3 linked regions of the Drosophila melanogaster genome follow. The protein of the gene in region 3 interacts with the protein of the main gene of each other region in a pairwise test. Each region holds a gene or a part of one and is shown on either strand. Other genes may lie near its edges. The genes, in order: RAF2, Lcp2 and CG15209.

Region 1 (3,760 bases), on a different chromosome or scaffold from region 3:
CGCTGCTGTGGTGGAGCTAGCTGGTGTGGTGGAGCTAGCTGGTGTGGTGGAGCTAGCTGCTGTGGCGGAGCTCGCTGCTGTGGTGGAGCTAGCTGGTGTGGTGGAGCTAGCTGGTGTGGTGGAGCCAGCTGCTGTGATGGAGCTAGCTGCTGTGGAGATGGTCTATGTTGAGCCAGGTGCCGTGGTGGAGCGAATGGAGCTGTAGCCAGTTGCTGTGGAGGAGCTCGCTGCTGTGGTGGAGGAAGCTGCTGCGGTGGAACTGATCTTGGGAAGTGCATCTGTTGCACGGGGGCTTGTTGTAGTGGAGCAACCTGAGATGGAGCTCTCTGCGCGAGGGCAGCCACTTGTGGTGCAGCAGCATAGGATGCAGCGACTTGGGATAAAGCTGTCTGTTGAATCGAGAAAGTCGCATTAGCTTTCATGTTATTTGACAGCTTTTCGTTGGGATAGGATATCTGCATTTGGGTGGCCGTTGGCGGTGGAGTATTTAAACTGTAAGTGTCAGCTTGCTTGGCGGCAGTAGGCGGAGCCAGGGTATACGGTGTGCTCAGCTTAAAAGCCTGCTGACGCTGAAGAGGATTAGTCGATGGAGTGGTGGGCATTCTTAGATTTAATGGTGGAGCTGCCTCCATTGGCTTCTGTTGCTGCACCGTTGAAAACCCAATTATATTATCATCCTCGACTTCATTGTTGCGCTTCTCTTCGCTAGCGGGCGGTGTTACCGAACGGCGTCTTTTAAGAGTGGCATCAACCACAAGCGACTCTGCCTCATTTGGCGCATCTCGCGACCGGTCCTTTAGAGCCTGTTCCAATTCCCGACACGCTGAGAGTTTACCGTAGTCGAAGACCGGTTCCTGGGGATCCTTCTTTACCAGGAACTCGTCGAGGATAGAGGCACCGTTTTCGTTGTTTCCAAGTGGGTTTGCTTTCTTCCTTTCTGGCAGCTCGTAGTTTAGTTGGGGTGGAGCCGGAAGCGTAGGCTTATTTTCCTTGATGGGCGTAACCCTTGCCGGCTCTTGCTCTGGTTTCTCAGGCGAATCCTCGTTCTCCGTGTCGTCAAGGCAAATGAGTTCCGGCGAACCACTGCCGCTGCGGCTGCGAGAATAGCTACGACTACGACTGCGACTGCAACTTCGGCTAAGACTGCGGCTGTGGCTGCGACTACGACTGATGCTCCTGCTGTCGTAGGTTCTGCGCTGCCTGTCATGGAAGCGAACCAGGTGCTTCAATTTACGCTTGGGCAGCAAGTCCTTCAGGCCGTCAAAATAGCTGTTGTAGTCCATTTTATTGGGTCGCAGCCTGAAGTGTGATCGGATAAGATAGGATTACAGTTTCAGTAGGTTCTTTGGGAAGTAAGCCTTACCAACGAATACTGCGACGCTTGAAGTAAAGATTGGGCAGCCTGCCACGCTGTAACTGCAATTGCCGGATCCGCCGAATTGTTTCTGAGCGCGTGGAAGGTGGCACCGCATCGTCATCTGGCTTTTCATTTTTCTCAGTGGCAGCCGCCGATTCTGGAGCTCCATTTCCGGGTTTCTCGGACTCGGATCCCTTGGATTTTGTCTTTTGGGGTCGTTGCTTGCTCACCGCCGCGTCCATTAGAGCGTCGTATTCCTCCTCCTCGTGGCTATACTCGTCGCTACTTAGCTGCGAATTGGAGGAGTCGTAGATCTCGTTGGACATTAGGCCTGCAACTGGACGACGGTCAGGTATGTACATCTTTTGGCATTAACCCCCTCAAAAACTCACGCGCTCACGTCTGCAAATTTTTGGCCAACAAAAAATCGTCTGCCGGTTGAATATTCTAATCCGCCGACGGGCTCACCTTTTCAGTTGCTGAAAACCACTTAAAACAATGGCCCAAGTCCCCAAATAGGCTAATTCGGGTTTATACCAGTTTTAAAGCGTTTACTTTCAGCAAAAATCCAATTTCCAAATGCGAAAAAAAATTCGCCGTTCAATTCTGCGAATAATTTTGACAGGCATTTAGTATGGACGCAAACCAATAGGGTAACCACTTTTGGGAAAGTCTTTAAATAATACTGAATAAAATATGTTCTTCCAACTAGTTCTTAGTTAGGTAAACCAAGCAAACAAATTTTTAATCTTATTAAATTAAAGTAATCTAGTAATCTTATTAAATATTACTAGTTTCGGGGTATTCGGTCATTTCATATCTAAAAACCAAATAACTATATTAGAATAAGTTACTCACTAGAGTTTCATTTTTTGATTTATGGAAAAGTTAGCGTAGATCAAAAATCAATCATTAATAAGCTATAAGTTGTAGTGCAGATCGTTAGCCAAATTATTCAGATTTCCTTTACAACATTGCAACCTGACAGCCCTGGTGGCAAATATTAAATATTGAAAAATACTAAAGGCAAAAGTGGCGATTTTCCGTTTGTTCACCGGTGTCATCGTCATTGCACTCGAACGGTCATACCGTTTGGCTTACAAAAGAAAACAAATCAATTCGCACAAAAACATTGCCAAAAAGGTAAATGGCGGGCACGACGCCGCCGAGTGATAACCATATAGTAGTGACCAGTGTTTAGCAACCGATTCCCGCCCAGTGACACTCGTAAACAAAGGGCACGACCGACAGTGTCTGTATATATATGTGCATATGCGTAACAGGGAATAACCGATAAGAACGGCGCAGCTGCAGATAGACATACCTTTAAATAGGACTTTGTTTATTGATCGTTTGTGGGTGGCTATTGCCTTGCAGATCGCGAACTGATAACCATAAATGTTAACCACGTCACGCCACCCCACGCCTCTCCCAAACACACACACTCGCACACGTGCGCCAGCTGAGCACATGCATACGTATATGCATGCTCACACGCACACAATCGCATGGTCGTGCACAAGAACTCTTTTGTTGTATGTAAAGTGGACGATCGAAAAAGTAAACTAATTCAATACAATGGGTTCAGCAATCAACGTCGGGGTCACCAATTGAGTGCATCAAAAATACAATCAATTCGGCCCGGCGAATTTTCGGTTGATTCAGCTAATGGCGGTGTGCATAAGAAATGGCATGAAAAGTACTCCTTTTTTCATTGGATTTAAATCCCATTATCATAGGAAGAAATAAGAAATTTAAAAAAAGCAGTGCTTGTCAACTGAATGCATTCATTTCTATTACAAAAACGTAGTGCGTTCCATTGTGCATGTAAATATATGCAGTCCCAGTTTTATATTACGTGTCAAAACAAAAGATTGACCTTTATCATTGGTCGTTTTACAACCATTGTTTATAACTTTGTAGAAATACAAATAAAAACTTCTTTGATAAACTTTATCCGCTGACATGTTTTAAATCATAATTTAAGTAAATCATGATCATTTAAATAATAATCTCAATATATAATACCTATTACTTTAGTTTATTTAAAATCCGAAAATCGTTTCGAAACTTATTTAAATTTGCTTAAATTGAAATATCTAAAATATCCGAAGCCAAGTATTATTTAATAAGAAATATGAATAGCTAAACGCCTTAATGAAATGATTTAATTAGTTTAAAGTTTTAAAGTTGTCGTTTTTACTCATAATTAAAACGGTCGTAAAACTTTAGTACTTTTTTAAAACATCTCCATGTACAAAATGTAAAAAATGACACCTAACTGTCATCAATTTTTTGCTAAACTGTTTGCACACTTTGGTCCCCATAAACCCACTCATTCTAAAGATTATTGACTTTCGCGAGCTTCCACTGTGAAGTGCGAGTATCTGCCCCATAATGACT
Region 2 (3,649 bases), on a different chromosome or scaffold from region 3:
ATGAACATTCCCGTGGAGTTTGACATATACAATGTATACGATTCTTACTTATACAATCACTATTAAACACTTAAGTTACAATATCATAATATAATCAAAAATCCGAAAGCACAGCAATTTGATTGATATTTCTCCAAAAATCACTACAAGATCTTATAACCGTGTAACCTCAGGGAAGTCTGTGTTATTTTTTGTTACGTGTATGACTATTTAAAAAAGGTTAAAAAAAAGATGAAGAATTTGATTTTTACATCTAGGCTTATAATGCCAATTTCAGTTATATTCATAAAAAGACCAATATAAAAACAAAAATTCGACTCGGCTAGTGATAATGATGATGAATATACATACTTTTTAGGTTCGAAAACGCTTCATAATACCCTTAATACCCATAATACCGACATGCGTTCTAACAATTCAAGTGTACCCTTATCCTCTACAAATAATAGATATAAAAAAGTTCCTCGTCGTTTTCATCATACTGCGATCTTATCTGGGATGCATCAGGTTGGCAACATTTAATTACTTGTGGCTGCCTATGAACTTAACTTAAAATAATAACTAGTTATAACCCAGTTTTCGGAAATATGAAATTAATGCAAGGAGATATCGGCTTGTCCAGGTAAGATTTTTGTAATGTTTACATTTATTTTAGATGCTTTAAAGATTTTTGTATTTAAATTAATTTCGTACTATACTATAACAACACAATTGTAATTTAATGAAGGCCAAAGTGTCTTTGATTACTTTTAATCTTCTAATTGTACCTTCTTATACCATATAATACCGGGAGCCTTCTCTTAAATCGAACTGTCAGATTTGTAAAACATGCACTTGGTTTATATTGCAAGGTTTAATTTATTTTCGAATTCGATAACATTTTCCTTAAATTTAAAACAACTGGTAAGAAATTATCCAAACTCAACCTAGCTGTCTCCAATCTTTCATGTTCCTAGTCGGCGGGTTCACTTAGTTCTTGCTGGGGTTAGCCTCGATGTAGGCGATAGCCTTCAGGATGGCAGCTGGGATCGGAGGAGGAGTGGGCAGCAGGTCACTCTGGGGCTGGTATCCGTTCTCGTCAGCCTTGTAGCTCACTCGCACATGGACACCCTCGGGGGAGATCCACTCGAAGACTCCGTCGATGTTGCCGTGGATGTCTCCGGTGGCGGAGGAGGCAGATCCGTCGTCGAGGACCAACTTGCTGACAAAGCCATCGGGCTGGACATCGTTGACCAGCTCCTTGACCTCCACATTAGCGTTGGCGGCCACCAGGGCGGCGAGAGAACAGACAAGCAGCTAGGATAATCCAGGATTAGACTGCGAAGTCACTATGCTCCTCAAGGCATACTTACGATCTTGAACATTTTGATTTGGGTGGATTGTCGGACTAGAAATCTTCTAAGACTGATGACAATCTATGCTCAAATCGGTGTTTATATATCATCAAAAGCTGATGCAATGTGCGTATTATAATTAAGTCAATGTGATGCATATAATAAAAACCGTCTGGGATGCAAATTAGTCGACTTGAGATGGCTTAACCACTTTCATTAGGAGATGAGCATTCTTAGTTATTTATTCAACTGAAATATTCGCCCTAGTCTAACCGAAATGCAAAGCAAACCGGACCAGAAACCAGAATAATTATTAAGCAGTACAATATTTAATTTTCTAAAATTCAACTTCAATATGAACTAAACTTAAGCATAGCATAGTTTTCGGTGTTTCATTTGGTGTGTGGCACGTTGACAACTCTGGCCAAAAGCTTTGCGGGTTTTTTTAAATTAAACAGTGACATCCAAAATATTGAGATACAACAAAATGTCATAGGCAACTAGCACGTTAATATGCAGTATCACTTGCGAAATCGTTTATTCCGGTATATTGTTTATTACCACTTCGGAACCTTTTAAAATAGATGGGACTGCTATCAAGTGAAGTGTATTGGGTTTTTTGATTTTGTACAGGCATGATTGATAAAGACTTGGTCAACTCGAAACGTCATCGATGAGCACAGAATCCGAAAACCGTACTCCATCGCCCCTACAAAATTTCTACCGAAGCATGTTTCATTTCGGAATCTGTTCAGCAGCGCAAGACTTGTTTTTTGACATTTGTATCGCAGAGTCAAGTGGAGAATTTATGGGCCCTGCCTTTTGTTGGCATCATGGGCGTTTCGTGATAACTTAGATTTGGCCCAAAAAGTAATAAGCAATTCGTTTGGAAAGCAACCAAATTGGGAATCATATAAAAAGACTCTGTCGACCAAAGTCAGTTATCAGTCAACGTTCGTTCTCGACCAGACAGAAATCAGCCAACATGTTCAAGTTTGTGAGTGGCTCACAGGACATTTATGAACTCGCCATCTAATTGGTATCATTTCCTCTATCCAGGTGATGATTCTCGCCGTTGTGGGAGTGGCTACCGCCCTAGCCCCAGTTTCCCGCTCCGATGATGTACACGCTGATGTCCTTTCCCGATCGGACGACGTTCGTGCCGACGGATTCGACTCCAGCCTGCACACCTCAAACGGAATCGAGCAGGCCGCCAGCGGTGATGCCCATGGCAACATCCACGGCAACTTCGGCTGGATCTCACCCGAGGGCGAGCACGTTGAGGTAAAGTACGTCGCGAATGAAAACGGATACCAGCCCTCGGGAGCCTGGATCCCCACTCCTCCTCCAATCCCAGAGGCCATCGCCCGCGCCGTTGCCTGGCTGGAGTCTCACCCCCCAGCACCCGAGCACCCCCGTCATCACTAGGACTCGTCACCCGGATCCCGGACCACTCCACGGACTGTTCTCCCGAAACAAATCGCCCAAGTTGTTTAGCTGTACTTCTTGACTTTCAAAAAAATACATGCACTTGCTTATAGCAGTAAAAATGTGTGTGTTCTTCATTGCACTTTTTAGGTAGTTCCTGTAATAATACGAGCTTTTATACCTCTACCTTCGCTGGGAATGCTTCCTTCTACCTTTTATATTCGATTCACTAAATCCATTTATCAAAAATGAGTATATGTGTCCATAAAGAAAAGATGTGCTGAATTAAAAATTAATTTTGTCTTTTAAAATTTGAGAAGGATCTGGGCAGTCTAAAAGATCTGAAAAACAAAAAAGCAAATGTTTGCATACAATTTTATTCTCACTAAAAGTCTCAATGCATTTTTTTTTTATTTTAAGTAGTATTTAAAAGCCAATTAGAGAAGCCAATACCAATGGACAAACTTATTGAAATAGAAAAGCAATGGTCAATGCCACACGAGCCGATTACCCTAGTATATACTCGTAGTACTAATCCCGTGGATTGCCATGCGATGCTTTTTAATGGGTGTGGGGTATCTTCATAGTCAACCCAGATTTCAGAGCACCAATCGTATGAAAGATGTAGCGTATTGACTTGGGTTCAGTTTTGGTGGTTATCAGTCAACGTTCGTTCTCGAGCAAACAGAAATTGGAATCTAAAATGTTCATGCTCGTGAGTAACGGCAGGATACGAACGTATTCAATGTCTATGCTCTCGTTCACGTGGTGATCTGTGCAGTTTTTGGATTGAGTGGCTCATCCCCCATCCCCCATCCGTAGGACGTTTCGAAAGTGACAACGCCGATGTCCACTACCAATCATACGATGTTTATACCGATGGATTC
Region 3 (3,189 bases):
TGACATCAGGAGATGCACACAAAAGAGAGTCAAGTGGATTGGTTGCTGCTATTGGGTGCCCTTGATAGGGTACCTCCCATAGCTGGCTATGGAGCTATCCTATACAGTGAGTCAGTCAGTTGTGTTTGGCCCACAACACGGTTATCAACGCTGCTGACAGTTCTGGGTTTTTTTTTTTTCTTCTTTTCATTCTCAACCAAAAATGACTAACTAACCAAAGCGGGCTGGCGCACGTGTTTGCAGTCTAATAAAAGCTAACAACGATCAGTCAGTGGAATGTTTTGGCCATTCCATTCGCACGTACATTTATTTTATAAACACTTTATATACATATGTATGTATATATAGCATAGCACATACATATGTATGTAGGTTGCTCGCATGCCAGATGTGAAACCATTAGGAAAATGCAAATAAGACTGACAATTGCGATTTTCCATTTAGAATTTACATTTATCAATACTTACTTCGTCGCACGTTACATGCAACTTGACAATCTCGACTTTTTTTCAATTTCCATTGTCACTCAAGAACGTCGTTACGTGTATTTGTCAAATCGTTATAATTCAACACATAATAGCGCAATATATTTAACAATAATTTCTTTGTTGACACTAATTCGGCATGCACTACAAGTTAGACTATGCTATTGCAATTTGTTTATAAAAAAAAGCTTTTAGCAACGCCTGAAGGCAGGCAAAGTAATTGTAGCAGTGAGTAATTAAATAAGCCCAATTACCGATAAGAATTTAAAACTCTAGACGAGGTATCTCTAGTTGCTTTTCAACTGTATTCCATTAGAATTGTTGCAAATAGAGCAATAATTGTTTGTGTGAAATATGAACATGTAAATGTAGAATAATATCATTCACATTTTGACCAATCAAACAAAGTTCTTAGACCTAAGATTGCCTGACCGATTGGTTCGGTACACAAGGAAACATTGCGACTGATTAACGCGGGGCGCGTCGTCCATTAACCCATATCTACTAGAAATTATTAAAAACTCTCGACCATTACAACTCGTTCAATTGGCTATGAATAAGAGCTGATAAGATTAGGCCAAACCAACATGCAGAAAATAGAAGACGGCGAACCGAGTGAGCACAAACTGCGCAGATAAATTGAATTGGAGGCGGACAGAAAAAATAAAAAAAAAACGTAGCCAACAAAAATACACAATAAAAAACGACGAAATGCGGGATCTACTACATACAAAATACAAAATACAAAAGGCACCAGCCAGACAATTAAATAACATATGTACCAGGGGTCGATGTTGTATAGTGTATAGTATAGTGTATGTGCTGCATATGCAGATAAAATAATTTAACCGACCCTACACACTGACTTTTCAATCAAAAGCAGCCCCCCAAACGACAGTGCTGCGCTTCGTTTCCAGCGTATTGAATTAAATGGAACATTTTTTGCATAACATACAATAAAATATACATTTTAAAAACACTCACTGCTCATCTATTACAAATTTATATAGTTTTAGAAGTAAAAGAATCTATATCCCCGCCTTACTTGCAGTTTAATGGCACCATTGTTTGCCAAAATCCATGGCATTCGAAAGTAACCAAAAAAAATAATAGCCAAATGCTGGAAGAAGAAAGCGAATGTCTTCGCCAGCCAGCACTGCCACACGGGGCGTTCGAGTGAGCGATAGGGAGCCGAGCGAGCGTACGAGCGGGTTGGAAGGCAGATAGAAATTGGAGCGCACCCCGAGAGTCGAGTCCAGGCCACGATCGATCGACATGCGACAGGCGGGCAGCAGTGCCACAGCAAAGCTACTAGCAGTCGGACGTAAACATGAAACCCATTGGGTGCAACAATATTCCGGTCATCTTCCTGGTGATCCTCGGCATGGTCAGCCTGGCCAATTCGCTGCCCATGAATCCCGAACAGGAGCTAAAAGATGTCGACGAGCCATTGGGTCAGCAACGTCAGCATAAACAGCAGCATGTGCAGCAGATGCAGCGCATGGTGAAGAGCGAAGCGGTGCCAGAGTCGGAGTTCGTCGGAAAAATTGCGCCACGCAATGAGCAGAATCCGGAGGATGAATACGATGCCGTCACATTGGTGGAGGAGCTAGAGGCCGCCGGAGTTAAGCTGGCCGATCGACGTGATCTGCGCAAGCTAACCTACACGGAGCTGGCCCGCCTGCTAGCCCTATGGCATCTGTCCCAGAATCGCAATGTTTACAATGCCAAAGGACCGGAGGAGCAGCCCAATCAGGCCATCGATGAGCGTTAATTTAGTTGCTTAATGAGTAAGCTCGTTTATTTAAAGCCAAAGTTCACTTAATATATATATACATATATATATATATATATATTTTGTGTGACAAGAGAAAAAGGCTAGTAGTACGCTCCACGGAGAACGAAGTGGGATGACCCATGCAGATATACATACTATGGCAACTATATGATATTCTCCGACCTGACTTTCTTTAGAACATTATAAGGAGCATTGTAATTCCAGCAGCAATTCTTTCAAATAATAGTTTGCCTCATTTTTAGACTCGTATAGAAATGCAAATAAACTAAACCGTATTATTGTACAGCAAAGTTATTATTTCTTGCAGTGATAGCTAATGGAGAGTAACTAAGGTCAAAACGGCGCTACAAAAAAAAAACAAAAGAAAAAACTACTAAGGTGATGTGTTCAGTTACGCCACTGCCTTGTGTTTCTCCCACTCGATCTCGTCCAGCCGCGGCGGCGCCGTAGCGCTCTCTGTCGTGATGCCGCCAATCTCCGAACTGGTGCCGGTGACCACCAGGAGCGGCATTTGTCGCCGTTGCAAACGTTTGGCTATCGGCGGCACGAAGAGATCGTGCTTGATTAGCGTGCAGTCCGCATCCTGGTAGATGCGTCGATTGTTGTCCCATTTCAGCAGGGCAAACAGCCAGGACAACAGCCATCCGCCAAAGAAGGTTATCAGGAAGCCCAAAGCAGCGTACCACATGTAGCTAATCCTGTACAGGTAAAAGTAATGCTCTTCCTCGGCCACCGCTATCACAGTCTTGAGGAAAATGTCGCGGGCAAAGCTCCTGTCCACCGGACATCCAGCCGTGGACATATCCAAGCTGACCAGCGGTGGCTTCGGTTGTCCGAAACCGATCCAAAAGCAGAACGCCAGCGATATGAGCAGCCCACCAATGGCTCCCTTTTCATTCGCCTTGG

Evidence for each region.
Region 1: the proteins of CG15209 (region 3) and RAF2 interact in a two-hybrid assay, tested with the Drosophila melanogaster proteins (one large-scale study listed by BioGRID).
Region 2: the proteins of CG15209 (region 3) and Lcp2 interact in a two-hybrid assay, tested with the Drosophila melanogaster proteins (one large-scale study listed by BioGRID).

The regions. Positions count from the first base shown.
Region 1 is NT_037436.4:16,384,560-16,388,319, reverse strand, and holds the start of RAF2 (RING-associated factor 2), read right to left. Parts: upstream 1,994-3,760; 5' UTR 1,750-1,993; intron 1,695-1,749; 5' UTR 1,684-1,694; coding exon 1,364-1,683; intron 1,300-1,363; coding exon 1-1,299. Other genes in the region: Agpat3 (1-Acylglycerol-3-phosphate O-acyltransferase 3), read left to right, coding at 2,866-2,892.
Region 2 is NT_033778.4:8,433,204-8,436,852, reverse strand, and holds Lcp2 (larval cuticle protein 2), read left to right. Parts: upstream 1-2,067; 5' UTR 2,068-2,319; coding exon 2,320-2,331; intron 2,332-2,393; coding exon 2,394-2,762; 3' UTR 2,763-3,056; downstream 3,057-3,649. Other genes in the region: Lcp3 (larval cuticle protein 3), read right to left, coding at 970-1,296, 1,353-1,364. UniProt on the Drosophila melanogaster protein: Component of the larval cuticle.
Region 3 is NC_004354.4:10,840,431-10,843,619, forward strand, and holds CG15209 (uncharacterized protein), read left to right. Parts: upstream 1-1,774; 5' UTR 1,775-1,815; coding exon 1,816-2,259; 3' UTR 2,260-2,565; downstream 2,566-3,189. Other genes in the region: CG32669 (uncharacterized protein), read right to left, coding at 2,675-3,189.